Elephas maximus indicus: one gene and its partner. The protein of the gene in region 1 purifies or fractionates together with the protein of each later gene. This does not show direct contact. Links are inferred from orthologs where the notes say so. Each region holds a gene or a part of one and is shown in the gene's direction. Other genes may lie near its edges. The genes, in order: RAB9A and GDI1.

Evidence for each region.
Region 2: the proteins of RAB9A (region 1) and GDI1 purify together in Homo sapiens (affinity purification with mass spectrometry; 3 studies listed by BioGRID and IntAct, counting the BioPlex papers as one, with this or other methods). This does not show direct contact. The link is inferred for Elephas maximus indicus from reciprocal best matches to the Homo sapiens genes RAB9A and GDI1.

What each region holds. Positions count from the first base shown.
Region 1 is NC_064846.1:165,953,203-165,969,006, reverse strand, and holds the start of RAB9A (ras-related protein Rab-9A), read left to right. Parts: upstream 1-8,783; 5' UTR 8,784-8,954; intron 8,955-9,196; exon of another isoform or gene 9,197-9,478; intron 9,479-15,804. Other genes in the region: 60S ribosomal protein L7-like, read right to left, coding at 6,113-6,859. UniProt on the Homo sapiens protein: The small GTPases Rab are key regulators of intracellular membrane trafficking, from the formation of transport vesicles to their fusion with membranes.
Region 2 is NC_064846.1:2,001,509-2,017,741, reverse strand, and holds GDI1 (rab GDP dissociation inhibitor alpha), read left to right. Parts: upstream 1-8,342; 5' UTR 8,343-8,454; coding exon 8,455-8,499; intron 8,500-9,655; coding exon 9,656-9,763; intron 9,764-9,926; coding exon 9,927-10,026; intron 10,027-10,157; coding exon 10,158-10,292; intron 10,293-10,785; coding exon 10,786-10,984; intron 10,985-11,206; coding exon 11,207-11,338; intron 11,339-11,947; coding exon 11,948-12,047; intron 12,048-12,523; coding exon 12,524-12,695; intron 12,696-12,976; coding exon 12,977-13,121; intron 13,122-13,254; coding exon 13,255-13,309; intron 13,310-13,399; coding exon 13,400-13,552; 3' UTR 13,553-14,386; downstream 14,387-16,233. Other genes in the region: ATP6AP1 (V-type proton ATPase subunit S1), read left to right, coding at 57-183, 2,902-2,976, 3,241-3,434, 3,878-3,918, 4,798-4,883, 5,269-5,507, 6,200-6,247, 6,336-6,567 and 1 more; protein FAM50A, read left to right, coding at 14,987-15,097. UniProt on the Homo sapiens protein: Regulates the GDP/GTP exchange reaction of most Rab proteins by inhibiting the dissociation of GDP from them, and the subsequent binding of GTP to them. Promotes the dissociation of GDP-bound Rab proteins from the membrane and inhibits their activation.

The sequences.
Region 1 (15,804 bases):
GAGTGCATTTGCAGACCAAGGACTTCTACTTCTGCAGTTTTATTTTCATTCATCAGATGGACTTTTATACCCTCAGCTTTGAGAAATCTCACAAATTGCTGAGCAGAAAGTTGCCAGACATTTTAGTGGACTGACTTATTTTAAATGATTTTTTAAGATCATTTTAAAATGAGACCAACTTAGTGGTGATGGTTACACAACATGATGAATGTACTTAGTGTCACTGAATTATACATGTAAGAAGTGTTGAATCGACAACTGTTTTGTTTTATATATATGTATTTGTCACACACATATACACACACACACACACACACAAAGACCAGCTGAGGGAGGGACTGCAGACAGGGTCTCTATTGTATCCCGTGAGTCATCCTGAGCCTTTTTGTTGCTGTTACTGTTTGCATGTATGAGGCCCCGGGTTCAATCCCCAGCATTTCCAGAGTAGAATTCTGGGAGCCCTAGTGGTGCAATGGTTAAGCGCTTGGCTGCTAATTGAAAGGTGGGCGATTTGAACCTACCAGCTGCTCCATGGGAGAAAGATGTGGTAGCCTGCTTCCATAAAGATGACAGCCTTGGAAACTCTGTGGGGCATTTCTACTCTGTCCTATAGGGTCACTATGAGTTGGAGTCAACTCGACAGCAATGGGTAATCTTTATGGATGTCAGGTCTTTCTCTGGCTGAGCCACTGGGTGGATTCAAACCACCAACTTTTCCATTAAGCAGTCAATCCCAAACTGCTTGTGCCACCTAGGGTCCTAGTTTGCTCATACATAAAATGGAAGGATAATGGCACACTTCCTCAAAAAGAGCTTTCAGGAGGCACCCCTGAAGTTCGCTGACAGGATAAAGAGAGTCATTGAGTGGCCCCTGAGGCTGTCAGGGCAGTTGGCTAGGCCATCCATCTCCATGAGACAAAGTCCTTACAGTGGCCTTTCAAGTCTTATCTTTGTGGCACTCAGGTTACCCTTTTGAACTCTTCACTTACTACTTCCCTCCTTGCTGGTCCTTGGCTATGCCAGGTACACTCCTGCCACAGGGCCTTTGCTTCTGGCTAGAGTACTCTTGCCCCCGATTCCTAATGTTTCCCCTCACCTCTCTCAAGCCCTAGCCAAAGGTCACCTTGGGCAGTGAGTGAGGCCTTCCCTGGCCATGTGCTACATTCTCTTGAGCACCCTTTCTCATTTCTTTTTTCCGTAAAACCTCACCATTTAAATACAATGCCTTGCTTATATATTTTGTTGTCTGTCTCCTCTCAGTAAATGGTAAACTCATGGGGTCAGGGATTTTTGTCTCTTTGGTTCACAGTCTCTTCCCAGCCCCAAGAACAGTTCCTGGCACATAGAAGGCCCTCAGCAAATATTTGCCAAGCCAGAAGAGCCAGGAATACGACATATCACTACCTACATATACTTATGTAAAGGATGAAAAACAACTTTAGAGAGAGAGCAATTGCAGTCGATGACAGGCAAAATGACGTGAGGGTGGAAAGAATGGAGAATGGGAAAAGAGAATATTGTTTTCCTCGGAATAATTTGGCACCTTTGTTCCCCATCTAGTATCTTAAGGAGGCCTGATAGCTCAGTGGTTAAGCTTCTGGCTGCTAACAGAAAGGTAGGTGGTTCAAACCTACCAGTGGCTCCGCGGAGAAAAGACCTGATGATCTGCTTCTGTAAAGATTAAACCAGAAACCAAACCCGTTGCCATCAAGTCGATTTCCAGCTCATAGCTACGCTGTAGGACAGAGCAGAACTGCCCCATAGGGTTTCCGAGGCTGTAATCTTTATGGAAGCAGACTGCCACATCTCTTTCCTGCAGAGCAGCTGATGGGTTCAAACCACTGACCTTTTATTAGCCAATGAGCGCTGAACCACTGTGCCACCAGGGCTTCTCCCAAAATATATATATTTGTAGATGAAACATATATGTATATAAAACATATATAAACACTATTTGCACTATTAAAGTTGTTTTTATTAAGCTCGTGTGCATTTTTTTGTTAAGTTGTGCCACTGCCACCACTAATCCCCAAGCATTTTCATTAGCCCAGAAAGAAAACCTGTACCTGCCAGCAGGCACTTGCCATTCCCTCCGTCAGCCCCTGGCAACCACTCATCTAATTTCTGTCACTATGAATTTGCCTATTCGGGAGATTTCACATAAATGGATTCATACAGTATGTGGCCTTTTGTGTCTGATTTCTTTCAGATGGTTTTTTTTTTTAACTCAAAAGTAGGCCATATCTTACTAACCAAAGGAACCCATGCTGACCTTTATTTAAAGTGCATCTTTAACTGAATTCACATGAATAATTTAACATTTACATGTCACAATTACAGTTCAAAGCTTTGTGTCAATAATTACTTTTGATTAACCCGTGCACAATTTGACATTTTGAATGCAAAAAACCCCCCAGCCTTATCTACAAGACATTCAAAGGTCATGTTTTTTTCTTTTAGAAAAAGGAAGGATGGATGTTTTCCCCTAGTTTCTTGATTTAGTTGGCAAAGAAGAGTTTAATTAATCAGATTTTTATCACCATAACCATTGTGTTGGGAGCCCTGGTGGTGCAATGGTTAAAGCACTTGGCTGCTAACCCGGAGGTAGGTGGTTTGAACCCAACCAGCTGCTCTGCAGGAGAAAGATGTGGCAGTCTGCTTCCCTAAAGATTTACAGCCTTAGAAACCCTATGGAGCAGTTCGACTCTGTCCTATAGGGCCACTGTGAGTCGAAATCGACTCCATGGCGACGGGTTTGGCTTTGTGTTGTTGTTAAAGTTAAGGAATTCTTAGCAGCAAGTTGGGTCAACTTCCCTTCCTTTGCATCTCCTCTCCTGTCTTGGTCACTTAGTTCTGCTGCAACAGAAATACCACAAATGGATGGCTTTAACAAAGAGAAGGTTATTCTCTCACAGTCTAGGAGGCTACAAGTCCAAATTCTGGGTGTCAGCTCCAGGGGAAGGCTTTCTCTCTCTGTTGGCTCTGGAGGAAGGTCTTTGTCATAAGAGCTGGTCCTCGCAGGAACCACTGGTCCTAAGGGTGTGCTCTGCTCCTGACGCTGCTTTCCTGGTGGTATGAAGTCCCCATGTCTCTCTGCTCCCTTCTGTCTCTTATATCTCAAAAGAGATTGGTTTAAAACACAATCTCATCTTGTAGATGGAGTCCTGCCTCATTAACATAACTGCCACTAATCCCATCTCATTAACATCATAGAGACAGGATTTACAACACATAGGAAAACTGGTCAGATGGCAAGATGGTGGACAATCACACAATACTGGGAATCATGGCCTAGCCAAATTGATACACGTAATTTTGAGGGACGCAATTCAATCCGTGACACCTCCCAAACAGACATATCCTCCGGCATAAAATTACTATGCAGTTGAATTGTTTGGCCCGTTGAAAGTAGCTCTTCCCTTACAGTTCCATAATATCACGTGCTGCTGGAGTCAGTTGCTGTCGAGTCGGCTCTGACTCATGGCAACCTCACTTACAACAGAATGAAAAGTTGCCAGGTATGTGTCATCTTCACAATCGTCGGGATGCTCGAAGTCCATTGTTGCGGCCACTGTGTATTTTTAGTGCCTTCCAACCAAGGGGACTCATCTTCCAGCACTATATCAGGCAATGCTCAGTTGTGATCCATCAGTTAATTTTCAGAAGTAGACTGCCATGCCTTTATTCCTAGTCTTTCTTAGTCTGGAAGCTTCATTGAAACCTTTCCACCGTGGGTGATCCTACCTATTTGAAATACCAGCGGCATAGCCTCCAGCATCACAGCAACACACATGCTACCACAGAACGACAGACTGACAGACAGGGGTAGGGGGATGGGAGTGCGGTAGATTATATCCATAGGCTAGGGAATTTCACACTTAGCCGAACCTATGAACTTTCTCTATTTTATCGCTGCCTTACGTTATTTGTGGGCACATTTGTTTCCTTTAATTGCCCATCAAGTCCCCTATGCAGTTCTTAGTTATGTTTATATCCCTAGAAGCCCCAAGGTGTAACTTGGGAAATGGAGGATGCTTAATACACTTTTGTAAAATAGATTTTTTTTAAGCTAGAGTGGAATTTCAATATGAGTTCATACATGTTTTTGTTCTGTATAGCTCATGCCACTATTTGCAAACCCTGCATCTAACTTTAATAAATGAGATCTGTACTTCTACAGTATCGTTAATGTTTCAAACCCAATCTCCTGAAAAAATCATTTATTCACAATCAATTCCTTGAACTCATGGAATTGGAAACTTACCAAATTAAATAAAACAAAGCCATAAGTCAGAAGAATTGTGCTAGATTGTATTACTGTTCAAAATACTTGATGATTCTCCCAGTGGGAGGGTTCTAGATCACTGCACCATGGAGGTAAAGCTTTACCACATGACTTGCAATGCCCTTCCCTTTAGGAGGATTATACCTACTAAGCGATTTGCCTTAAGTCTGGTGGCGTAATGGTTAAGAGCTACAACCAGAAGGTTGACAGTTCGAATCTACTAGGCACTCCTTGGAAACCCTATGGGTCAGTTCTACTCTGTCCTATGGGTTGTTATGAGTCAGAATCAACTCAGCGGCAAGGGGTTTTGGTTGTTTTTTTGCCTTGTCCAATGACGTACGGGTGGAAATGAATGTCACTTCTGGGTGGATGCTCTAAGAGCTAGGTGGGGTTTTATTTCGGTTTCTTTTCTCTTAAACAATGAGACTCACAATGTATCAGGCATAGGCTGCTCCATTAGCTCGGGTTCATCAGATGACATGAAACAGAACCACAGCTGACCCATAATGGATGTTACAGAGAGTGAGAAAGAAATCTTTGTTTTTGTAAGCCACTGAGATTTTCGTGTGTCATTTGTTACCATAGCATGGCTTAGCCTAAACTGACTGATAGAAAAGTGTTAAGAGAAATGTAATCCCATTTACCTGCATTTATATTATGAATCACAGTAAGCTTGGACTATATAATCTATAGGAAACATTCTAACCTTGTACCATTCAGGGTTTGTGGTTGCAGCTAAAGACATCAACTCCTTCTAACTTAGAAAAGGAATTTTTTTAGAGGCATTGAGAGGAATTTTTCTTAGAGGCAAGGCTGGAGTATTGAGTTGGGAAGTAGGCAGAAACCAAGGGAATCCAAGCTTGGTCTGATTAAGATGCTAGGTACTGGATACTGCCACTAGCATCCCCGTCTCTGGCACTATCCGTGGTCACTGGATACTAGAGGCCACCAGTAGTAGTGGTGCCAGAATGAACTGTGAGTGGTTCCAGCATCCCTGTGTTGCTTGCCCAAGACTCAGATCTTCAAAGAGAATATCTGACTGGCCAGGTTTGGTGCTCGTGTCTGTATCCTTGTTGCTTGGGTTCTGGAAGAGCAAGTAATTGGTCTTTGAGGCTAGATACTTAGTTGGTTCCCTAAATGCAAGAAGGGCCTTCAGATGACAAATAAAACCCATCCTTCTTTCTCCCCCACAAAGGCAAATATCCCTTACAAACTCTTAGAAGAAAACTTTAAAGCTCCTGATCTGTATTTCTTATTAAGTCATGCTTCCCTTTATGGGGTATAACACAAGGAGTGTAATATAAATGATTGCATTCTAATTGAAAATTTGTGATATGGATAGACATATTCTAGGTCACCACCGTCCAACAGAATTTTCTTTGATGAGGGAAATAGTCTATATCTACACTGTCCAATGAGGTAGCCACTAGCCACATGTGGCTGTTGAAATGAGGCTAATATAACTAAGGAACTGAATTTTGAATACTATTTAATTTTAATTGGTTTACATTTAAATAGTCACATGTGGCTAGTGGCTACCATATTGGACACACAGTTCTAGTCCCTTCAGGCGTTGTACCTAATTTTCACAACAAAGGGCTTCCCATCTTTTTGTTAGATTTACTCCTAAGTATAAGTTTGTTATTGAAATTGGTATCTTTTTAAAATGTATATTTTCTGTGTTTTGTTGGTTGTATAAATGGAATTCATTTTTGTTAATCATTTCTTATGTAGCTACCTTGTTAAACTCGTTTTTTTTTCTCAATTTGAAAGCAGTTACAGTTTTATTAACTGACCAGATTACAAAAATAATCACGGTAGACACCTTTAGTTCATCCTTCTAATAAGCCTGTTGATCTGGTCTTCCCTGTTGCCAGCATCTCCACCTTCTACAAAATGGGTGGTCTTTTTCTTCATTCCACCTCGTGGAGAAGATAATTTGAAGGGCCACAGGAAGTCGTTTGCTTCTTTGAAGCGTTTCCCAACAGTATAGATCTCATGAATCAGATCCTCCATGCAGATGATGCCATATTTACCAAGAGATCGTGCCATCAAAGTGTTATCCGTCAGGGCAATTCGCTTCTTATTGATCTCGCCATAACCATGCTTATAGGTCAGTTCATTCACTGACTTCAGGTTTGGGAATGCCCACGCAATATATGGTTCCACAGTTCTCAGCATGTTAATTGAAGCCTTGTTGAGCTTAACAGAAGTGCCATTGAAGATCTGGCGAAGGCGAAGAAGCTGCAACACCTTTCGAACCTTTGGGCTCACACCATTGATACCTCTGATCCTGATAACAAATGCCAACTTGGGTTCTGCAGGTACACAGAAGTTGCCAGCTTTTCTTGCCATCCTAGCCATTCGAATTTCAGTCCTGTACATCTGCCTATACTCCTTGTGATAGTGCTTAGCTTTTTCATAGATAAGCTTCCTCCTTGCCTTTCGAAGCATCTTTTGGGCAAACTTCTTTCTCAGGCGCTTGATCTTTAGTTCTGCGAAATTCCTTTGCTTTTTTTTAAGGGTTTCTGGCACATCAGGAACCTTCTTTTTCTTCTCTTCGACACCCTCCATGGTTCCAGCCGGAAAAAGAGCTGTTAAACTCTTTTAATGATTAGTTTTCTATAGAGTCATTGGGATTTTCTAATCATGTCTGTGTTTAATACAGTTTTGCTTTTCCCTTTGCGATCCTCAAACTTCTTCTTTTGTTTCCTCACTATGCTAGGACCTCCAGTGCAAAGTTGAATAGAGTGTTACTTGAGCGTAAGAACTGTGTGTTTTAGTCAACATATATTTTGAATTGTAGTAAATAGAAACCGACTTCAAGATTAATTTAACTTGAAAATTGAATTTATTAGAAGGCTAGCAGGATGTCTGTGAGGACCCCAAAATGATCCAATCATTTTTACTGTACCTGAATCTGGGGCTCACTTATTATGTGTCTCATTTTCAAAATTGTTCTAAAATTGTTATTTTATGTGTCAGAAACTTTCTCAAATATAACCTTCCTAGTGCTGAATGAAGAGACTACATTAGATTACCTGAAAATAACTCTCCTAATAGCCAGAGATTATTTAAATAATTGTGGGCCCAGCAAATCATAAAAGTGAGAGCCTTCTCTTAGAAAATAAACAGCCTAAATCTACCCACAAAATATATTGAGAGTTCACTAAGAACCCCTCTGGCCTCCAGGGGCCTGTATCTGGACCCATGTCCCAAACCTCATATATAAAGCATGAAATTCTGAAGAGCTTTTTTAATACCGCCTTTCCCCCTACTGCTTTATATTTAAATTTATATTTAAAGATGACACAAGCAGTATTTTAACAAGATTAAAGGAAAAAATTCAAAGCTTAATTTTAAAAACTTGTTGTCGTTGTTAGGTGCCGTCCAGTCGGTTCCGACTCATAACAACCCCATGCACAACAGAACAAAACGCTGCCCGGTCCTGCGCCCTCACAATAGTTGTTATGCTTGAGCCCATTGTTGCAGCCACTGTGTCAGTTCACCTCGTTGATGGTCTTCCTCTTTTCCACTGACCCTGTACTCTGCCAAGCATGATGTCCTTCTCCAGGGACTGATCCCTCCTGACAACATGTCCAAAGTATGTAAGATGCAGTCTCTCCATCCTTGCCTCTAAGGAGCATTCTGGCCGCACTTCTTCCAAGACAGATTTGTTTGTTCTTTTGGCAGTTCATGGTATATTCAATATTCTTCGCCAACACCACAATTCAAAGGCGTCACTTCTTCGGTCTTGGTCTTCCTTATTCACTGTCCAGCTTTTGCATGCATATGAAGTAATCGAAAATACATGGCTTGGGTCAGGCGCACCTTAGTCTTCAAGGTGACATCTTTGCTCTTCAACACTTTAAAGAGGTCCTTTGCAGCAGATTTGCCCAATGCAATGTGTCTTTTGATTTCTTGACTGCTGCATCCATGGCTGTTGACTGTGGATCCAAGTCAAATGAAATCCTTGACAACTTCAATCTTTTCTCCGTTTATGATGATGTTGCTTATTGGTCCAGTTGTGAGGATTTTTGTTTTCTTTATGCTGAAGTGTAATCCATACTGAAGGCTGTGGTCTTTGATCTTCATTAGTAAGTGCTTCAGGCCCTCTTCACTTTCAGCAAGCAAGGTTGTGTCATCTGCATTACGCAGGTTGTTAATGAGTCTTCCTCCACAATATCACAACTGTTTTTTATTTTTCATCTATTCTGTTATTCTTTGCCATTTGCACATTGGTTTATTGTAATCACAGCATCCTGTGATTGTGCTCACGGGATCCGCTTATTTCCACTTCTCTTAAACTTTTTACGAGAACAATGTTGTTTTGTACCCGCTCTGGTCGGAGCGCAAGAGGGAAGGTATGAGAGGCAGCCCACCCAGAGGAAAACCGATATCCAGCAAGGACAGCCGGTCAGGGGTGGGCGAGGGCGGTGCGGGCCCGCGACCTCGAGGCCCCGCCTCCCAGGCCCCGCCTCCTCCGGGCCCCGCCCCGGCCCGTCGCCATGTTGTTCCCTCCGAGCTGGCTGGGAGCAGCTGGAGCCGGAGCCCGAGCCGGCGACCCCGCCGCTGCCTCGTGCCCGCCCCTGCCAGGACCCTGTCTTTCCCCAGCACACCCGGACAGGCGGGCGCAGCGCTCCCGGCGAGTCCTCCGTGTGGTTGCCACGTGAGCTGGGTGCAGGACTCCCCTGGGGTCGGGCGGGGTCCGGGGTGCCCCAGCGCCCGGGTCTGAGTGGCGGCCCGCAGGCCAGAGCGCGGCCTGGGTCGGTGGGAACTGGGGCGGGCGCGCTGGCGGGAGGGGGGCGCGGGGCCAGCGCCTGTCACCGCCGGTCACCGTCCGGCCCCTGGAGGGGAGGGAGGGGGGGAGGGATCGGCTTGTTCTCCCCCCACCCTTACGGACTGACGCAGGAGGAAAGACGGGTTTACATACCCAGGGAGCGGGACACACACCTATGCACCCGGGGACGCGCAGAGACGCCCGCACGCACCAGGTGACACACACACCCAAACACTGGGGAAGAGAGACGGGCACACACACCCAGACTCCCGGGACACACGCGCAGCCGCCAGCCCACACCACAGCCTCCCGAGGGAAGAAAAGGCGCCCACCCTTCCCGCGCACGACGTGGCTCTGGTGACCTCTGACATTCTGCCTAGCCGAGAGTTCGCAAATGTTTTGTGACCCCTCAGGTGAGGCATGTAAATACCATTCCAAGGGCCAGCAGGCGCTTCGGGCCATTATCTGATTTAGACAGCAGCTCGGGTTTCAGAATGGTGTTCCTTTCTGTCTTCCAATTTAGTAAGTCAAAAGGCAAGTCGAGAATTCGAAGTGCTGACCAAATAGTTGGTGGAGGTATTCAGTTTGCTTTTTAGGGGGTTTTGTTTTTAAAGCAGTGACACATCCCGTGACCGCGGTTCTCTTGAGGAATAACTTTTCTGCTAGTTTCCCAGTTGGCACGTGACCCCAATCTTTTTATAGGATTTCAGCGTCCTGATAAAATGAATAGACAGAATCTGACTGCCTTTTTAAAACAAACAAAACAAAAAAAAACTGTCTTTCAGTTTCTGGCACCATTGTAATGGAAAATCCCTAAATTGCCTGTAATCTCAGCAGCGGTTCAGTGGAGCGAAACTGGAGAGAGGGAGGAAACCCAGAACGATTCAGTTAGGGACTTTTTAAGAAGCCCGTTTGGAGACTCTTTTAGAGGTGTATCTGAAGTTATTAATACGTACTTTCCTAGAACTCTCAGTATCTTGTTTAGATTCCCAAATCTAAGACAATGCTGTTTCACTCTGATACTTTCAGTATTGTTGTGTAGACATTAAATTCTTCTTGCTTATACTAAAAAGTTCCTGGTTTGGTGATTTATTTATTTTGGACAAAATTCTGTGATTTGGAGCTATTTTTGATTTATTATCTAGGTGATTAGAGTAGACTGGCAGAAACTAAATAGAACATTGTTGGCCTTATCTCCAAGCCAGGTTCTTGGACACTAGGGAAGTATGTAGTGCCATTTCCTCTTTTCCAACCACTTTCTTCTCTTTTCTTTCCTTTCCGTCTGTTTCAACCACCTTTTCTGTCCAGACTACAGTGCTCTAAAAAAAAAAAAAAACTCCCTTTGCTGTTGAGTGGATTCTGACTCAATAGCTACCTTATAGGACAGGGTAGAACTGCCCCATAGGGTTTCCTAGGCTGTAATCTTTACGGAAGCAGATCACCAGGTCTTTCTCCCGTGGATCCACTGGGTGGGTTCCAACTGCTGACCTTTGGTTTGCAGCCGACCGCTTAACCACTGTGCCACTATGGCTCTAAGGCCTGAAAATAAGTTCCTTTGGTTTCAGAAATTGTTTTCACTGCCCCTCATTTCTCACCACGCAGGTTCTGGGTGTTCTGGGTGTATAAGTCCTGAACATACATCTTTCATTGAATGCTCACAGCACGGCTGAGCTATTGGCCCCCTTTTACAGATGAGGAACTTGCTGGGGCTTAGGAAGGTTAGGTCTCTTTCTCAAGGTCACACACACAGTGAGGAGCAGAGCCAGGATTCAAGGCAAGCCTGTGTGATTTGAGGGCAGTGGTTCTCAACTGGGAGCGATTTTGGTACCTCCCCCCCCCCCCCACCCACACACACACAGAGAAGACATTTGGCAATATCTGGAGACAAGTTTGTCACACCTGGGGAGGAGTGCTAGTGGCATTTACTGGGTGGAGGCTGACGACGTTCAGGACAGCCCCCACAGCAAAGAATTTCTGGCCCAAAGTGTCACTGGTGCCGAGGCAGAGAAATCCTGCTTTAGAGCAGTCTGCGGAACGCCAGGACTCACTTGTCTCCTCCGCTTGCAGTGTTGTTTTCTTGTTTAGGATACCTTCTCAGCGTTTCAAGAAAAAGCAGGGTAAAATTTGAGAACCTAAAAGAGACTTCTCTTGATTGAGAGGCATATTCATTCATTTAAAAGACTAAGTAAATAGTTTTTGAGGACAGAATTCAGTATTTATTTTTAGGCGAAAATGTCAAAAAGAACTTGAGAGCTAGCTATGTGGGAGCCATCCTAGTGGACTGAGCGAGTTTAGTTCCGGCATTACTCCAGGCATTATTCCAGCCGTCAACAAACATTTTTCTGAGCGGCCTGTCAGGCCCACAGAGGTGCTGGTGATTTGAAGAGCTATCGAGAGCCTTGTCTTCCTGCAGCTTACAGTCTACTAACAATCCTGGGGGTCCTAGACAGGGTCAGGCATTCATTACAGAACAAAACCAGAAGCAAAACAGCTCCCCACGTGGCAGGAAGTACCTGCATCGTTGTTTTCTGTGAGCACACTTAGATGAAATGAGGGGAAAGCTGCTGTGTTCTTTATAGCTCTGTTCAGTTAAGCGCATGTGAACACTTAAAAGAATCAAACTGAGAAGCCATTCTCATTGAGAATAAAATTCTGCCTTAAATTTAGCTGCAGCAGACAAGGGCATGTGGTTTGTCATTGAAATCAAGAACTAAGTGAGGAGATAAAAAAATGACGTTGGCATCATCTTTTTCTTTCTGGCGTTTTCCAGCCTACTTTTGCCATGCCTGGCTATGCACAGGCCTTTCAAACTATGTACTTTCATTCTGGTGGCAAATGTGAATGTAACTATTAGATGAGCTTGGGGAGTGATTAATTGAGAGAAGAAGAAGAGTTGGGTCTCTTTTTCGGAGTCACTGTGAAGTTACGCAGTCATTGAAGCATCTTTTTGTGGGTAGCTTTGCTTTTTGACTCGGCTTTTTTTTAATGGACAGGCTACTGCTCTAATGAAAGCTTTCTCTGCACTTACAGGAGTTGTCTGCTGTGGGGTGGGGGGGATGCTAAAGTATATGCCTGAAATGGTTGCTGTCCCATGGGGTCTAACAAAGCCCTGTATGTTCTTTCCTCACTGGAGTTTTATCCTGGAAGGGCTTAGAGGAATTGGGGTGGGGAAGAACTCACTGGCTTGGGTGGAGTCTTGCTCTGTCATTAGTTGGCTTGCTGCTCTGGCCAAGTTAGGTCACCAGATTTCTTTCTTCGTAAAATGAGATGCTTGTACTTTATGATCTCTGTGAGATTATATGATACCCAGTACAGACAGCACATTATTAGGTTCCATGTTGTTCTGCCCCAGGCAAATTGTTGGCTAAGCAGCAGGAGGAAATAAACCAAATAGAAGTGTGCATATGTGTTGAGGCAACATATCTAACTTGAGAGCTATCTCAGTAATAAATTGGCTTGTCAAAACCAAGGGTTTGTGACTAAGTAGACCATCAACAGAGGACATTTATTAACGTTTTTGTTTTTTTTTGGTCTTGGTAGTACTCACAAAATGCCACAGGGAGTTTGATCGAAAACTGTGACACAAATGAAAGTTCCAGATACCTGAGGAGGGAGGCTGTGAGTGATGTGGAGTGATCCAGGTGTGTGGAAGAGGGGAAGCCTGGCTGCCTGGTGATGAGGGGCTGGTGAGGCCCGAGGCAGCCCCAGCTGGCCCTGGCTGGGGAGACTGGAGGTTCAAGTTGATGACTCGGCTGGCTAGTTGGGTAACTTGGAGGAGAAATCACTGTTTCCCAATGTGACTCTTGATACTATAAATGTGTGAAGTTGTGTTCAGGTATTTCCACATTCTGGATTTTTCCATTATGTACTTTTTATGAATTGTTGACCGTGGCAAGTACAGGGTTTAGAACGATGTTTCTGATCATGAACATAGAGAGGCTGGCTATACTCACCAAAAAACCAACAAACAAACCTGTTGCTGTCTAGTAGAGTCAATTCTGATTCGCAGTGACCCCATAGGACAGAGTGGAACTGCCCCATAGGGTTTCCAAGGAGTTACTGGTGGATTTGAACTGCTGACCTTTTGGCTAGCAGCCAAGCTCTTAATCACTACGCTGCCAGGACTCCGGCTAGATGTCAATGAATATAAATAAATAAGGTAAGAGCTAGATCAGCGAGGGTGGAGGGAGATGGGCCTGTGTTTGGGAAACAATACAGAAGTGAATTCAGTAGGGGTTGAGGCTTCGCGTCCTGGCCCGCCCTGAACCCAGCTCCTTTCATGGAGGGCTGTCTGTGGACAGAGTGCACCTTTGTCTTCTGCCTGATGTTCTACAAATGCGTGCTGTTGTTTGTCAGCAGCGGAGAACCAGTATAGAACGACTGCACACATTCATTTCATTGCCATGTTCATTAGCCAGGTGTGAAGAACAGCTGGACGGTGTTAAAGAGCTGAACTAATTTATCATTATTCCGTGTTGTTCTGAATTGGATTAGGATTTTTTTATAGAGAAGCTAAAAGGTAGTTAGTGGAAACCCCGGTGGCATAGTGGTTAAGAGCTACAGCTGCTAACCAAAAGGTCGGCAGTTCGAATTTACCAGGTGCTCCTTGGAAACTCTGTGGGGTAGTTCTGCTCTGTCCTATAGGGTCCCTATGAGTTGGAATTGACTCGACGGCAGTGGGTTTTTTTGGTAAGGTAGTTAGTTACCAGAAGATTAGTTCTCAGAAGGGTGGCTGTGTTATCAGTGTTAGAGAAGCCTGAAAAATTCTTAAACAGAATTCTGTTTCTAGAACTTGCTATGAAGAACTCTAACCAATAAAAAAAATAGGAGTGTTTAAATGAGTCTAACAGGTTCAAAAAGTTAGAAATCTTATTAGTCTGTGCAGTTTGACACTGTGTATTTGATCAGAGCAGGGAGTAGGTGAGCACTTCTGAAAAAACATATGTCTTTGAGTTGGACGTCTGAATGGAATAACAACACTGAGGACCAAAAGAAAACCAAACCTGTTGCCATCAAGTTGATTCTGACTCATAGCAACCCTATAAGACAGCAGAACTGCCCATAGGGTTTCCAAGGCTGTAATCTTTAAGGAAGCGGACTGCCATATCTTTCTCCTGCGGAGCCGCTGGTAGGTTCAAACTAGTGACCTCTCAGTTAGCAGCTGAGCACTTAACCACTGTGCCACCAGGGCTCCTTAAGTAGCTCTGAGTTTCCCTCAGAAATTCAACATATGCTGCCCTGCCCCAGTGAATTTGTGGTGTTGCCTTGGGGCACCTCCACACACAGTTTGGAAACCGCAGGATTAGAAACTTGGTGGTTTGGGTTATAGCATAAACGAATAAGGCATCAAAGTTGTTTTTTTAACCCCCCACCTCCACTCCGTGTTGATATTTGTAGCATTTTCCCTTGGGCCCTTCATTCCCCCCAGATAATCTTAACAGTTTGGGATGCTAACATTTGGGGGGCTAAGCTGCAGGGTGGGCAACAGGTGGGGAACCACAATTCAAGTTTAGTTTGCAGACCCTATCCCCCGTTTTTCGGAGTGTTTTAGCCACATTTTCTGCAGTACAAATGTCTCTAGGAAGTAGACCTTCTGCTGAGGTGGAGAAAGCCTAGGGGGTGAGGAGGTGGTCATGGGGTTGCCAGCCTTGCAGACACCTCACCCTGCCATGAGAAGTGCCAGGGCTTGTCCTCCAGGGCCTGTGCCTGTTCAGTTCTGCACCGGAGTTGGCTTTCTCAGCCTTGGCTGCCTCTCCCTGCTTCAGGTTTCCTATCTTCTGTCACTGCTGGACCGTTTGCATCCCATCTGCTCAATTTTGTACATGACCCTGATCTACAATTGTTTTCTTTTTGTCCTTTTGGGTCTGTATGTTTTCGAGTCCTTTTCTGTCACTTGGGGGGTAGTGAAGATAACACATGTGATCTGGCCTGTTTAATCAGACCTGGGAAGTTATTTGTTTTTTGTGAACTTCCGTTTATTGATCTATAAAACGTGGGTGATAGTGTCCAACTTGCTGGAAATTTTAAGGTGTTATATGCCAGGAAGGGAGCCCTGGTGCATGGCGGTTAATTTGCTCCACTACTAACTAAAAGGTCGGTGGTTCAAACCCACCAGCTGCTCAGTGGGAGAAAGCTGTGGCAGTCTGCTTTCTGTAAAAATTAAAGCCTTGGAAACCCTATGGGGCAGTTCTACTCTGTCCTACAGGGCTACTGTGAGTCGGAATTAACTTGATGGCAACAGGTTTTTTTGTTTTTTCAACAAGTTTTTTTTGTTTGTTTTGTGGTATGTACCAGGTACATAGTAGATATTCACTAAATCATCGTAATTAATGTTCATAGTACTTGTTATTTGAGCAAACCAGACACTGGCCATAGGGAGGGAGGGAAGTGGACACATTTCTTGCAAGGATGAATGAAGTGGGTAAGACAGAAGAAGAAAGATGTTTGGAAATGGGGAAAATGATGAGGTTCATTTTAGATATGTTGAATTTGAACTGCCATCACCAGATGAACATACTGTAGAAGGGGTTGGAAATTGTTGTCTGGTCCCAGGGAGGGGGGTTAGTGGGAGGGGAGGTGGGAGAGGAAGGGACGAACCTAAAGTCTGGGAATCCCTGGCTTTTATGTCCCAGAAAGATACCATCTGGAAAGAGGTAGGGGCTTCAGCCTTGGGAAATACCTTCATTAAGAGCTTGTTAGAAAAGGGAGCCATCTGGGTTGAAGAAAGTTAAGGGAGGGA
Region 2 (16,233 bases), about 160 Mb from region 1:
GGCTTCGGCTTTTAAGCCAGGCGCCCCGCTTGATGGCACTCTTCTGTTCCGTACAGGGACCTGTGGGCTCCTGCGGCCGACACTCACGAGGGTCACGTCACCAGCGACTTGCAGTTGTCTACCTACTTGGACCCCGCCCTCGAGCTGGGCCCTCGGAATGTGCTGCTGTTCCTGCAGGACAAGGTGCGCCGCCCAGGCCTCCGTCATTAGTAGTCGGTCAGGTTCCCTCCCCCCACGACACTTATACCCGTTCTCTAAGGGAAGATTCCGTGACCTTGTCCCAGCTTGTGGAGCAGGGTGCCGCGTCTCCGTGGAAGGCCTGTAGTAGAAGCTTTAGTGGGAATGGTGGGAGTAGCCGAAGGGCACTACCTCGATTGGGAATGAAAGGGGCCACATGCCTACTCAGTATCAAGCACTTCAGGTACATGTTCTGACCGACCTCCCCCCACCGTGCTGGGGATTATCGTCCTGTTTTACACCTGCAAAGACTGATGCCCAAGGAGGGCAGGTGGCTTGCCAAAGGTCACACAGCTCATGAGTGGCAGGGTTGTGATTCTAATTGAAATGGTAATAATAGGGCTGATCACAAAGTGGTTATTTATTGAGTACTTCCTGTGCACTGTGCTAGGTTGATATCATGATCTTGATTTCACTGCCAAGGAAACTAAGGTTTGTAGAGGGGCAGTGATTGCTAAAATTTCATGGTTTATAGACACCGTGGTTGGTTCCAGCTTGAGAATGTTGGACCCTACCAGTTTGTGTTCGTAATGAGTATGCAGTTTTCCCTTCCATTGCGCCTCCCTGGACTCCAGGCAGGCATTTAAGCCATGAGAAGAGTCTAGGGCAGCCTGGAATTGGTGTCTGGGAGGCTGTCAAACCTCAGCTTCACCAGTCCTTGTTGGTGGCCTTTGTAAGTCTTTCCTCTTTGGTTCTCATGCTGTTGCTTGATGGGTAGATAGTGGTGGTCACGCTTGCCCAGTTCTTGCAGGAGGTGGTAAATAATGCAGTCAGACTTGAACCCAGTCAAGTTCTACCAGTTACCAGCCTTTGGACAAACAAAATAATCTTTGTGAATGCCAGTTTCTGCATGTGTAAAATGAAGACACCACTTGCACTAAAGAATTGTGAGGAGTAATTCTTAGAAACGTTGTAAAACATCTAGCTGAGGTCTCTCATTCATTCATTTGCTCATTTGCCAGGGTGGAAGGCCTGCTATGTACTGGATGTTGTTAGGTGTTGAGGATATAAAACCAAAAACCAAACCCAGCGCTGTCGAGTTGATTCCGACTCATAGCGACCCTATAGGACAGGGTAGAACTGCCCCACAGAGTTTCCAAGGAGTGCCTGGTAGATTCGAACTGCTGACCCTTTGGTTAGCAGCCACAGCACTTAACCACTACGCCACCAGGGTTTCCAGCAGAGTAGAACTGCCGCATAGGGTTTCCAAGGCTGTAATCTTTACAGGAGCAGACTGCCACATCTTTCTCCCATAAAGCAGCTGGTGGGTTCGAACCGGCGCCATTCTGGTGAGCAGCCAAGCGCTTAACCACTGTGCTATCAAGGCAGTGGGCAAAATAACTCAAGCCTCTACTATCAGCAAGCTGACATTCTCGTGGGGGCAACCAGTAATTGTGAAGTAGATGTATAATATAGCATCAGTGCTATATTCTTTAAAGAAGATGGAAGCTGGCTAAGAGGACCTAGTGACTCGGGATGCTGTCTCGTTGAAGGTGGGCAGCCAAGGCCTCTGGGAGGGAATACTGACTGAGAGAGGGAGCCACGTGGTTGTGAGGGAGGGGGATTCCAGGCAGAAGGAACAGTAGGTGCAAATGTTCAGGGCTGGGAGCGCTCTTGATGAACTCAGGGAAGAGCCAGCGTGGCTGGGGTATAGTGAGTGAGAACGGGGTACGAGACGTCAGGTACCCAGGAGATGAGATAGGCCTTGTAGGCTATGGAAAAAGGTTGATTGTGATCCTAAGTGTGATGGGAAGCCTTCGGCGATTTCTACCGGGAATGACTTGATGTCTTCATTAAAGGAAGCACATGGGACACAGTGGTGGTTCCGGTTCCCTGTTCTCAGGAACCCTGGCTTCCCCTGGCTTTAGGAAGGAGAGCCTAGGACCCTAAAGAGGGTTAGCTTTCCTGCCCGGAGGGAGGGGAGGCTGGGCGAGTTTGCATACTAAATAGTGTAGTTAGAGAAGCTGATTAATATTGCTTGGCCTTTAGGTGGAACTGAGAAAAGGTAGCTGAGAAAAGCTAGTGGAAGCTGGAGCTGGGTTGGGGTGGAGCTGGGAGTTGAAGGACATCTGTAGGTTGGGGAGGGAAAAGGTTGGGGCTGGGGTTCCTGTGGGCTGAGGACTGCGAAAGACTCCAGTGCTTCTGGCAGCCTCTTCCAAGATCCAGTCTCTCTCCCCCCTTCAAAAACAGGCGGAGAGGGGAATTCTCAGGCCCCTTTAGAAGGGGTCCTAGTTCAGTACTCCAGCCTGCACCTGGGCGGCTCACTCACCCCATAGCAGCCTGTGTCTTTGCCATCAGCCCTAGGAGGCATTCAGGCTGTGTTCTTGGCTGCCCCTCCCCACCCCCTCCCCAGCTTCCGTGTTCCCTACCAAGTTCCTCTTGTCTCTCTGTGAGGGGTGGCTGACTGACTGGGATGAACACAAGTCAGCTGGCAGTGCCGCAGGTTCCTCCCAGCCCCAGCCCTGTGACCACCGTTCCTGTCTTCTCACCCTGCCTGAGCCCTGAGCATGCTGGAGGGAAGGAAGGGAGCCTCCCCCACGCCTTGCTGTTCTTGGTACCAGACCAAATCCTACTCTAAACAGGGCTTTGCTGGGCCCGCTCTAGGCCCTGGCCCCTTGACCTCGTCCAGGCTCAGGAGGCTGTCTTCCCCTGCTTTCCTCCTAGCTGAGCATTGAGGATTTCACCGCATATGGCGGGGTGTTTGGCAACAAGCAGGACAGCGCTTTTTCAAACCTAGAGGTAAGAGCCCTGTGTGTGGCATCCCGGTGTCCCGCACCCCACCCCAGCACCATAAAAACTATGCCTTTGGGAATAAGACATTTGCTGTGAGGTCCAAAGACCTGGGGCCTGAGTGTCAGGCAGGGGTGCAGGGTGGGCTTCAGACCCCCGTGTGGGCATGCTTTGCCAGAGGAGAGCTGCTGGACAGGCCTTGGGGGTGAATTTTGTGACATTGAGCAGCCACTAGTCCCCCACTGACTCTGCCTTCCATCCCCCTGCCCCCAGAATGCCCTGGCCCTGGCCCCCTCCTCGCTGGTGCTCCCTGCAGTTGACTGGTATGCTGTCAGCACCTTGACCACCTACCTGCAGGAGAAACTTGGGGCCAGCCCCCTGCACGTGGACCTGGCCACACTGCGGGAGCTGAAGCTCAATGCCAGCCTCCCGGCCTTGCTACTCATCCGGCTGCCCTACACGACCAGGTACAGTCCTGCCCTTAGCCTGCAGCCCCCAGGCCAGTGGAGCCTCTGGGCCTGGAGAGCACTGAAACCTGGGCCCTGGGCTCTGGTAGCATGGTGCAACCAAAGGAGACAGTCCTTTCGTTAAGCACCTTGAAACCCTTTTGGAACGTGCCTGTGTGGCCAGAGGAGTTGAGGGGATTGTGTGTGGAAGGCAGTGAACCTGGCTTTCATGCAGGTTTCAGAAAGCCCCTAGGTGGAGTGTGCAGGCTCAGTGAGCAGGGAGCGTGGAGTAGTACGCTGAACCAGTATTCTGAGGCCTGGGCCTTCAGTGGAGGCTGCCAAGTGGTGGGAGGCTAGAGAGGTGGACAGGTGCAGGGCAGAGGGGAACATGAGGAGGTGAGCTTTTGGGACTTGAGGGCCAGGGCTGCCTACACAAGGGCACTAACGTTCCATTTCTTTGATAGCTCTGGCCTGATGGGTTCCAGGGAAGTCCTCACAGGCAACGGTGAGTGGCATTGGGACCTGTACCCTTACCTGACCCCCCGTCCCTGTCCACTTCTGTGACACAGCTGGTGGCATGACCCCAGAGATGCCCAAGAACTCCTCAGCTTCTGCCTCACTCCCAGGAGGCCCTGCCTGTTCCCCACAGTTGCTTTCTGCTCAGCGGGATGTCAGGCTGTGAGGGCCTCATGCTGCTGGAGTCTTGTCAGAAGTCTGCTTCCCTCCACCAGAGTAAATCCAAGAATTTGGGGGAGTTGGCTTTTTGCCATGAAGGACAGTTACGGTTTTTAGTGGTTGATATTTTGGAAGAAGACCATCAGGCCTTTTGTCCAAGGTGCCTCTGGGTGGGCTCTCTGCCAACCTTTTGGTTAGCAGCCAGGCGCTTAACTGTTTGCACCATCCAGGGCCTCCTTGGGAGTCTTACGTGAATGTATGTGGCGGGGTCTGTAACTATGGTCATATCTCTACATATTTATATCTGCATTTCTATATCTGTATCCGTATCATATTCTATATCCATGCCCATATGTCTGTATATTTATATCCCTGTCTGTTTGTATTTTTTCATTTCTCTTTGTTACACCTTGTCATTAGGAAATCGATAATCAAGGCTCCCAGGGCCCAAGGGAGGCTGGATGGAGGGCGGGATGAGAAACAGCTGCTGTTAGTCTGGGCTCATCAACAGCTACTAAAAACATCTGGTGAAAGGTTGATGCGGAACTGGCTCTGGCAAGGGTGTTAAAGCACCACACCACAGGTGACGAGCCAGTTGTGGTGGTGGTGCTTCACAACGGGGACATTTGGCAGTCCCCACCTCAACCAGGTGATCCAGTTGTGCGTCATCAGCACGTGACCCGGCTCTTTGCTCTCCCCATTTGCTTAGACGAGGTCATCGGGCAGGTACTGAGCACACTGAAGTCCGAGGATGTCCCGTACACCGCAGCCCTCACAGCAGTCCGCCCTTCCAGGGTACGTGCCCTTCCCCGCAGGGTGCCTTGGGAGGTGAGGGGTGGCGGGCCACAGGCAGGGCCGCTGTGGGCTGAGGACGTTGACATGGGGCGGCTCTGTATGGAGGGCCTGAGCTTCCTCCCTCCAGGCAGCAGGTGATAATCTTGCCCTGTGAGCTCATGGGTTGGTGTATGTGAAAATTAGTCAAAGTGGTTCCTGAGATTAAGGAATTAGGAAGATAATACAGGGTGCAGGCTGGCTGGGGAGGGCTTCTTGAAGGAAGGGCTCTGAGTCTGGCCAGTGGGTGTTGGTGTGGTGAAGAGGATTGCCTTCCTGGGGGCAGGGCAGCTGGTTTAGGGCTTGGGTCCAGGGTGGTGGTGAGAAGGCTCATTGGCTGTCTCCACAGGTGGCCCGGGATGCAGCCATGGTGTCTGGGGGTCTGGGTCGACAGCTGCTAGAAAAAACGACAGAGACGGATGTGCCTCACCCCCCTGTGAGCTACAATGACACAGCCCCCCGAATCCTACTCTGGGCCCAGAACTTCTCTGTGGCTTATAAGGACCAGTGGGAGGACCTGACCTCCCTCACTTTTGGGGCCCAGGAACTCAACCTTACTGGCTCGTTCTGGAACAACTCTGCCGCTGGGTGAGGACATTCGGGCTGGGGAGGAGCTTGGCCATAGAGGTGATGTTCTGCCTCCGTGGGTCAGGGCCGCTGGCGGGGAGGCAGCCGGACGTGGGGATGGCATGGCCTTGTAGGGTGTGGTCACTGTGGGGTGTGGGTAGTATCATGGGGTGGGGGCTGTTGGAGGGGGAGTTGCTCAGAGTTCTGCCTCCATCATGCTTTCTGGGCCTTGGTTGGGGCCTTTGTCGTTAACGCCTCATGGTCACCTGGGAACTTGGTGCGTCCCCTAGAGCGGAATCTCCTGGACTGAACATAGGGCAAATACTAGGCCAGCTTCCTGAGCCAGCTGTGGGGCTCCTGTGCCCTTGCTGTGTGGCCAGGGAGACTGCTACTCCTCCATTTGCCCTCACCCCCAAAAACCCAACCCATGTATCACTGCAACCCCACGTGGAATTGAAAGAAGAGGCAGTGGACTCTAGGAACCAGAGGAATGAGCCTTGAGTTATAGCCGGAAGACCTGGCTTCTAGCTCATTCCTGAGTTGAAATGTGACTGGGGGAAACACTCTCCTCTCTGGGCCTCAGTTTTCCCATCTGTAAAGAGGGAGCACTACATCCTCAGTTGTCATGAAGACCTGGGGGCAGGCTAAGTAGGGGTAGACGTGAGAAACTCGGTCCTTGAAGCCACTCACGGCCTTTTCCTCTGACCCCACAGACTCACACTGACCTACGAGCAACTCTTTGGTACCAGAGTGACATTCAAGTGAGTTCTGGGGCCGCCAAGGTGGGGCAGGCTGGGTGTGGCTCTGGCTTCCCCCACATGCCTGACCACTTGTGTTGCCCACCCCTAGGTTCATTTTGGCTAACCGCTTCTACCCAGTGTCTGCCCGGCACTGGTTTACCATGGAGCGCCTTGAAATCCACAGCAATGGCTCTGTCACCTACTTTAACGCCTCCCAGGTCACTGGGCCCAGCATCTACTCCTTCCACTGCCAGTATGTCAGCAGCCTCACCAAGAATGGCAATCTCCTTGTGCCCCAAATACAACCCTCTCTCTGGCAGATGACGCTCCAGGACTTCCAGGTATGGCGAGGGGAGCTACGGTATGAGTAGGGGGAGGAGAGAGGCCTCAAGAGTCTTCAGTGGCCTCATCTGGGCTCCTGTAGTTGAGAGTCCTGTTCCCACAGTGCCCCTGGCCCTGGGAGACTCAGAATGTCCACCACCTGGGGGATCTCAGCCCTTGCTGGACATCCTCACTGCAGGGGGCCATGAGGTCCCACCAATTGTGTCTTGTCTGGCCCCAGATCCAGGCCTTCAATGTGACGGGCGAGCATTTCTCCTACGCCAGCGACTGTGCCGGCTTCTTCTCCCCGGGCATCTGGATGGGGCTGCTCACCTCCCTCTTCATGCTCTTCATCTTCACCTATGGCCTGCACATGATCCTCAGCCTCAAGACTATGGACCGCTTTGATGACCACAAGGGCCCTGCCATCTCTCTGACCCAGATAGTGTGACCACCCTGCGCTGCTGGGGGGCCGAGGGGCGTGGCAGTGTCCTGGTCGTCACTTTTCCACCTCTGGTCACGCCAGACTGGAGGGCTGCCATAGCATGAAACCCCAAGGTCCCTCACCCTGGCTCCCTTCCCTTTCCATCCTGGGGGGCCCCCCTGTGTCTCCCAACAAGATGTATGTACATTCTGCATAGGTAGTAAGTAGACAAATCTTCCAGGCTCAGTCGAGGTGAGGGAGAGGGAACGTTAATTCTAGGGACTGCTTCTCCCCCTTTTTCTCCTCTCTCCAACATCGCCGCTTACTGTTTACAGTGCTTGTGTGCGGCACATGCCCCCTCCCCAAGCTTGACAGGGCTTCCTGCAGCAGCCTGCAGCTTGACAGTCCCCGAGTTTGGGGAGTATAGAAGTAGTATTTAACTGTGTGTCCTGCTTAGCTGTCGTTGTTTGATCTTTTTTGATGATGTCGTGCTAAAAAGCAGCAGTACCCAAACAAAACACCCAGTACAGTGGGATTTATTTTTGTGGTCTGAGAAGGAAGGGACCTCCATGGCAGGTGGGTTCAGTGTGATCCCTGAATTTCTAGCATTTTCCCACCAGGAGGGCCTGGCAGCAGCCTGGGGCACTCAGTTATTTTCTTTACTGATAAATAAAAACGGGTTGCCATGCGTTGGGCCTCTGGTTCCTCATTTCTCCACGGACAGAAGAGAGGCGGGAGGAAGGGCCTGGATGTAGCCGAGCCCGCCAAGGGGTGCAGCGGCCTTGCGGGGGTCCAGCTGGCAGCACCTCCAGAAGCTGGGAGAGGCTTTTGCCAGCTAGGCCCTCAACGGTTCAGCAGGAATGGGGGTCCGTGCCGGGGCGACGAGGGTCGGGGCGGTGCTGAGTCACGGTACGTGCAGCTCCTGGGGGGAGAGGCCGCCATGATAAAAGATACTCGGGGCTTCCGAGGAGGACCGCCCGGAGGGCTGGAGGGCGCGGTCGGCCGCCCCGCGCCGCCAGTCCCAACACGCCGCCCCCGGCCCTCCGCAGCAGTGCGTGGCCGCTGCGCGCGCTCCAGCATCCCGGGGGGCGGGGCGGGGCGGGGCGGGGCGGGGCGCGCGCGGCTCCCGCGGACGGATTCCTCGCGGGGCCGCAGAACCGACCGCCCCCTCCTGCGCCGACCACCCAGCCCGCCCCTCCCCACTCTTCAGCAGCCGCAGAAACAGGCAGCTGGGAGAGCTGCGCTGGTGCTCGAGCCCGGGCCCCAGCCGCCCTACTGGGACGCGTGCTGCTGAGGCTGCGCGGCGCCTGAGAGCGGCGGGGGGCGGGGAGGAGCCGGGACTCTTTGACGCGGCGGAGGCGTCGGACGTCTGAGCGTCGTGCCGCCATCTTTGGTCCAGTGCGGCGGCGGCGGCTGCGGCGGCGGCTGTGGTGAAGGAGGTGGAGGAGGAGCCGGAGCTGGCGCTGGCATCGAGGACTGAACCATGGACGAGGAATATGATGTGATCGTGCTGGGGACCGGCCTCACCGTGAGTCCGCCCTCGCGGCATCGGTGGCCCGTGGCCCCACTTCGCGACCACCTATCCCCGCGATGATGCACTTCCCAAACGACGCCGGCCCGACCTCCCGTCCTCTCCCGTACCCTCAGCCCTTCAGCCCCTCAGCCCCAGCGCCGGATGCCCCCGGCGCTTCTTGTCCCCCGAAAAAACAGCCTCCGCTGCCATCCCCACCCGACCTCACCTCTACCCGCTGCCGCGTCCCCGTCTCAGCGGGGTGCCCCTCCCAATCGCCCCCCGCGATCTCGGGCCCGGACCTCTCCCCCCCTCCACGACCCTCTCATCCAGCCTGCTGGGCCGGGAAACGCACCCTGCTTGGGCGACGCCCCGATGCTCCGACCCCGCCCACCGGCCCCCTATCGCCCGCACAGCGGCCCCCTATCTGCGCTAATCCGATGAAGGATGAGGTGTCCATCTCGATTCACGGTGTCTCGCTAGGGTAGGCCCTCATCCCGTCTCCCCAGCTGCTTCTGGGGCCGGGGGACCCAGTGAATGTTCCAGAAGCAGCAGCAGTGGGGCCGTTGAGCACATTCCGCTCCCCCACCGCAGTTCCCCATGGCGACCGCGGGCTGAGTCAGATCCGCAGCCTTTGTCCTTGGGTTGGTGACACCGACTAGGGCTTCTTCCCCGTAGCCTCGACCCAGCTGGACAACGTCCGCAGATGTGGCCGCGAAGGCTTAGGGTCGTCCGAACCTTCGGAGGAGGCGCGGTCCGGGGCGGGCGGGCGGGCGGATTGCCGCCGCCGGGTCTGCCCTGGGGCCTAGAGTTCTAGCAGCGCTCCTCGGACTCATTGTGTCTTAGCCGCCTTTTCCGCGGCCCTAGGGCCCCTACGTCGACGGGGGCTTTCTGGGCGTGTGGGCTGCTCGGAGCGGTCTTTGCCTCCAAGCGGCTGTTATTTCTTTTCTTGTGCATCTCTTGGCTCAGCAGGGTATAGAGGAGAAGCCTAGTGAAGCTCTGGCCTGCGGTTTCAGGTTAGGTGACCAGCTCTGGTGAGGAGGAGCTGTCCACAGGCACAGGGTCCTTGTTTAGATTTGCTCTTTTCTCAAGTTCCTGGGTGGGGAACAGTCAGGGCTCCTACTGCGAATGTGTGGGTGGGGAGTCATGTAGGGACTGTCACGTCTCCCCTTAGGAATGTATTTTGTCTGGCATCATGTCTGTGAATGGGAAGAAGGTGCTGCACATGGACCGGAACCCATACTATGGCGGGGAGAGCTCCTCCATCACGCCCCTGGAGGAGGTGAGATTCAGCCCCACCCCTAAAAAATAGAAACCTACCATCCCTTTAATCAACCTTCTCATGCGCTGGAAGCAGCTCCCCAGGTTCTCTCTCTGGGCAGCAGGGCTGGGGGCTGGGGAGGGAGGGGATGGCCCTGAGGTATCTCTTCCTGTCCTGCTTGCAGTTGTATAAGCGTTTCCAGCTCCTGGAGGGGCCTCCTGAGTCGATGGGCCGGGGCCGAGACTGGAATGTTGACCTGATCCCCAAATTCCTGATGGCCAATGGTGAGGGGGACGAAGAAGGTATTGGGGGGTGATCGGGAAGACCAGAAGCAGGTCAGGCTCCAGAGAAGGGGTAGTCAGGCCAGTTAGAAGAAGGGGGCCATGCTGATACTGCTGTTCTCCTTTGCCTACAGGACAGTTGGTAAAGATGCTGCTGTACACAGAGGTGACTCGTTACCTGGATTTTAAAGTGGTAGAGGGCAGCTTCGTCTATAAGGGGGGCAAGATTTACAAAGTGCCATCCACTGAGACCGAAGCCTTGGCTTCTAGTGAGTTCCCTGGGCCAAAGAATAGTTGGGAGGTGGGGGAGGCAGACTGCCCTTATTAATACGGGTGGAAAGGTCCAGACCAAGGTGCCCCTTTACCCAGGCTTCTATTTCTCGTACGGTACCAGTGGCCCTTTGCTCTATTCCGTGTGTGCCGCCTGTCATGCCTCATGGCTTGTTGCCAGGGTAGAAGTCCAGACATGGAGGGGCGTGGATGGGGCCTCCTGTTGAAAGACTTCAACCTTTGAAAGGGTTTCCACTTGATCTGTGAAGCATCCCCAAGCCTTGGAGCTGGAAGGGCCCTTAGAGCCTGTGCAGCCCAGCCCCCTCTTTGTATAGGTGGATAAACTGAGGTCTAGAGAGGCAGCGGGATTAACCTAGTCAGTGGCAGTCTTCAGCTAGGAGCTTGGGCTCCTGGTTTTTTGCTCTAACCTGGTGGGAAGAAGAGGTTTATGATTTCGTGGCAACAGGATTCCCCTCACAACGTTTTCTTCAGATTTGATGGGCATGTTTGAGAAACGGCGCTTCCGCAAGTTCCTGGTTTTTGTGGCAAACTTTGATGAGAACGACCCCAAGACCTTTGAAGGGGTTGACCCCCAGACTACCAGCATGCGCGATGTCTACCGGAAGTTTGACTTGGGCCAGGACGTCATTGACTTCACTGGCCACGCCCTGGCGCTCTATCGCACTGATGAGTGAGGGGAAGCTGGGATGGGGCGGTCCCCTTCCTCGAACACTGCCCTTCACACACCTGATTTCTATGCCCTCTGTGCTCAGCTACCCACTCAGACTGTTGTTCTGCATGTGACCCATGGTTCTTCCCCAGGGGGTGGGAAGGCCGGCTCAGTGCCTGGGTTGGGGTGAGGTGGCGGGCAGGAGGGGGTCTGCTGTTTGAGCATCTTTCTCTGCTTCCTCAGCTACCTGGACCAGCCCTGTCTTGAGACCATCAACCGCATCAAGCTGTACAGCGAGTCCCTGGCCCGGTATGGGAAAAGCCCGTATCTATACCCTCTCTATGGCCTTGGCGAGCTGCCCCAGGGATTTGCAAGGTGAGGACATAGCTTTTTTCAATTGGTATTACCAAGTAGAACTAAGGACAGACAATAAAATGGTCACCTTAAGTTGTTTGTGGTGTTTTTATTTTCACTCCTGTGACCTGAATTTACTTCCCGTGACACTTGGAAGGAGGGGGCACAGCAGCAGTGGGTTGATCGTAGAGGCGAAGAGCCAGCTTTCCAGTAATCTGGATTGCTCAGCTCACAGTTCATGTCTGAGGTAATACTAGGGATGGACCTTAGTTGTAGTGAGGCCCCAGAGTCTTTATTGATGGCTCAGGCAATAATAGCTGGCTCTTCTCTGGAGCTTCCTTGGTTTTTGGTTCCATGTGGAGCTGTGCCCTTATGGCACCCTCATATGTAGTCCTCTGGAGAATATTTGGGGCCAGAGAGGAATGAGTGCAGTGAGTTCAGCCCTGAGTTTGTGGCAGTGGCAGAGCTGCTGGGACAAGCAGCTGGGTTTCCGGGGTTCTGCCCAGCCTGGAGCAGCCTTCTCTGCACCCCAGGGACGGGTGGGGGAGCGGGGCAGTGGTACCAGGTCCCTGTTTCTCCTGGCAAGGAGACTTCACTACCACCCCCACCCCCCCCCCCCCCCGCGCCCAGATTGAGTGCCATCTATGGCGGGACGTATATGCTCAACAAACCTGTGGATGACATCATCATGGAGAATGGCAAGGTGGTGGGTGTGAAGTCAGAGGGAGAGGTAAGCGGGCTCCACTGGACAGCCACTCTGCCTTCTCCGCGCAGTTTAGGCAGAATGGTCCGGGTACGGTGTGGCCTGGTTTCACGGGCTCCATGTTCCTGGTGATTCTGATTGGGGTGTCTGCTGCTACTTAGCACCGAGGACCCCTGTGCCAGGGACTTGGGGTGCAAAAGCAGTCTGTGTAGCCATTCCTGTTACCGAGAGGTGTCTCTAAAAGCCCACGTACCATGTCGGTGGTCCAGAGTTTCCTTAATCACGGGGTCTCAGTAGAGGGGGTTGGCCCGGTGTATTGGGCCCTGTCACCCTGAGCAGGTTGAGAGCCCTGTGCAGAGCAGGGCTGCGTGTTGCGGGAGGGGCAAGCAGTGGCAGAGAGGCCTCTGCCTGCTGAAGTTGCCACCCGTAGGTTTGGGCCCTGCCCCCTGGCCATCTAGGGAAGTGATAGGACCCAGGACCGAGTCCTCCCTGTGCCTTCACAGGTGGCCCGCTGCAAGCAGCTGATCTGTGACCCCAGCTACATCCCCGACCGAGTACGGAAGGCAGGCCAGGTGATCCGTATCATCTGTGTCCTGAGCCACCCCATCAAGAACACCAACGACGCCAACTCCTGCCAAATTATCATCCCCCAGAACCAGGTCAACAGGAAGTCAGGTGGGTAGAGAGCCAAGGTGGGACTTGTTCTAATACATTCCTTCTGGGGTTGTGCTGCCTCTCCCTATCAGACTTGGGGCTCCCTGCCTAATCCTTCCGTGGAAGAAATGGGGCCCCAGGGCTTGGATGGCTTCTCTTGGACTCTTCTCCTCCATGAAGGTAGCAGCTTGGGCGCTGCCCATTGCACAGGGCTGTAGGGAGTGGGTAGGCCACCAGCACCCCCCTGCATGCATGGCTGTGTACCCTTTGGCTTTTGTTCACTGAGCACTTACTGTGGTCAGACATCTACGTGTGCATGATCTCCTACGCGCACAACGTGGCTGCACAGGGCAAGTACATTGCTATCGCCAGCACCACAGTGGAGACCTCGGAGCCTGAGAAGGAGATAGAGCCAGCCCTGGAGCTGCTGGAGCCCATTGATCAGAAGTGAGAAGCTGGGGGGGTCTGGAGGCCAGGCTCAGCCCCAGGGGGATGAAGGGAACCGAGGGGCTTTCTTGAGAGGGGCTGGAAGGGGGACCCGTTGTGAGGCCTGTCCTCTCCCCTCCCGTCTGCCCCTCAGGTTTGTGGCCATCAGTGACTTGTACGAGCCCACTGATGATGGCTCCGAGAGCCAGGTAAGCAGACCTGTCCTGGCTCCTTGGCTCCCAGCTGCCCACCAGGGCCTCTGTCCATCTCACCCTGGGCCCCTGGTTGGCTGTTTTCAGGTGTTCTGTTCTTGCTCCTATGATGCCACCACCCACTTTGAGACAACGTGCAATGACATCAAAGACATCTACAAACGCATGGTTGGCTCGGCCTTTGACTTTGAGAATATGAAGCGCAAACAGAATGACGTTTTTGGTGAAGCTGACCAGTGATTGCTGACTGCCTGCCTGCCCGCCCCAGCCCACTCCTCAGTCCGGGACGACTGGACTGGGGCCGGGCCCTCCTGTTTCTGTTATCCTCTGCTTCCTCCACCCTGGTCCCCATCACCCACCTCATTGATTCACTGACCAAATCCTTAACCTTAGCAGTGGTTTGGGAGATGGGGGTTGGGTAGCATTCTGTTTCTTGGCCATTCCTTTATCCTGGAAAAAGAGGGTTCCTTTCCTCGTGTGTCTCCGTCCCCCACTCCTAATTCTTCTGCTCTGTTTGTGAAGAATGTGGCGGAAAAACCGACTTCTATCCCCGCTGCCCTTACTCTCCTCCGGTAGTGGCCTTTGGAGATATCCCCTGCCTCCCCCCACCAAGTCTTGCGTGTGTTGGAAGAGAAGGGGCCCTCCCAGTACAAAGTTGCATTCCCCCTCTAACTTATTCTAATTTATTAACCTCGGTCCCGCCTGAGCACATGAGAAGGGAGTGCTGAGCCCTGTCTCACAGACCGCCTTTTGTGTGATCTGAGTTGGACCCTTCCCATCCCTGGCGCAGTCTGGGAAGAGGGAAAAGGCCTGGGCGTAGCATGGTCGGAGGTTGATCTTGCTGTTTTTGTTTTTGCCTTTGTGTTCGTGTCCTCTGGTTCTTGCTGAGAGAAAAAAGAAATTTGAGCAAAGCAGGAGGTGGGAAAATGGATCCAAACCACAGTGTTCCCTGCTCCAGTCTACACCTTTCCTTTAGTGGTGGGAAACCCTAACCTTGCAAAGTGGATGTGCCCCCTTCCCGACCTCTAGTGTATTTCACAGAAAAACTCCCAATAAACCTGTGTTGAAACCTGAGCCTGGTTCTTTAGTTTTATTATGGAAAAGCTGGGTGCTGGGCTGTAGGATCCTGAGTTTGGGCCTTCACTTCATTCCATATGAGAATTGAGCCAAACCAAGACACTGTAAAAGGTGACAGTGTTCGTCAGATCAGGAGTCACAGCTCCAGAACCAAGGGGGCCTTTACAGAAGAAGCTGGGGTCCAATCAACCTGCCCAGGCCACTCGGCCAGTTGGTGTTGGCAGCAGGACTTACCACCCTTTTAGGGTCCAGTGTAGGAAGCACCGGGTCTGGGACCCGGCCTCGGGAGGGGGTCGGTGTGGGGTGGGGAGGGGCAGAGAGGACTTAGGGGCTCCTGCCTCTAGCCGAAAGGATGCCGAGGGACGGGCCTGGCGACCCCTCAAGGCGGGGACTCAGAGGCGGTGGAGGCGCCGCCCGCTGGGGCGGGGCGGGGCGGTCTGCGGGGCGGAGCCCACGGCGTCCTCGGGTGGCCGACGTCACAACGTCCGCTGACGGCATAGCCAGCGTCGCTGCGCTGCCGAGACTCGGCCCGTTGCTGTTGCCGCCGCCGCCGCCGCCGCCGCCGCCGCCGCCGCCGCCGCCGCCGCCGCCGCCGCCATGGCTCAGTACAAGGGCGCCGCGAGTGAGGCGGGTCGTGCCATGCACCTGATGAAGAAGCGGGAGAAGCAGCGCGAGCAGATGGAGCAGATGAAGCAGCGGATCGCCGAGGTGCGCGCCGGGCGCGGGCGCGGGCGCGGGCGCGGGCGCGGGCGCGGGCGCGGGCGCGGGCGCGGGCGCGGGCCGCCGCGGAGTTGCGCGCCGCCGCCCGTCGAGTGCCCTCTGGCGGCCCCGCCGCGACTTCGGGGACCCAGACCGCGGCCCCGGACAGTGGCCTCGCGGCACGCGCGGCAGGCAGACCTGGGTTGGGGTCCTGGCTGGGCAAGCACGTACTTGTGACATGAGAGCTGGCTCCAGTTTTCTCATCTGCAAGATGGGCCGAGCTTCATGCTACCTCAGGGGCCGAGATAACTGGTAACAACCGTGGGAGTGCGCGGGAAGTGTTGCTATTCTGTGCAACCTGGTGGGTTGACCCTCAACCATCACAGTGGGCCCTGGCTCCGCCAAGGGCAGTCCCTCTCTTTAGGGACAGTCACAGACGCAGGCACCCATGTCCCCACCAAGCCACAGGCGTGAGCCTCTGATGTGCACGGCGTTCATGAAGCACTTCAGTGAGTGGCGACTGACAATGGGCAGCCAGGAACAAAGAAGGAAGGAGCCGTCAGCTTGCGCATTTGGGGGAGATTGGTCTGAAGAGCAGGGACTTGGGTGCAAGGTGGAAGCCCGCTCCTACTTCGCATTGGCTTGTGACCCTGCTCTCCCTGGGGGACTCCCTGCTTTGGAGGCCACTGGCCAGACAAGGGTGGACGCAGTGCTAGTGCTCTGGGCTAGAGAGAGGAGGCCTGACAGGAAGCTATTGACCTGTGTCAGGGCCAGGAGAGAAAAAATCTTGCAGGGACTGGGGCCCCTTGACCACTCTTTTCTCCCTCACCCTGTTCTCAGATCCCTTGGCTTGGGTCTTGACACCTGGCTTAAAAGCTGCGTATGAAAAGGCCCAGGGCTCCAGGCAGCTGGAGAGAGCTGACAGGGTGAGAGCAAGTCCAAAGTCAGAGGGAGGAGACTTAACCACAGGTGACTCTCGGCCTGGAAGAGCCCCTCACAATCCTGTGGAACCCTTTGACAAAGGAAAGAGGACGCGTGTCTTTTCCCTAGGTCATACCATAGTGTGCCCAGGGGCAAATATGGCACTAGAACCAGGTCCCCTGTTGGGGTGACAGCTGGGTCTCATTGCTGACTTGCCTTCCCGG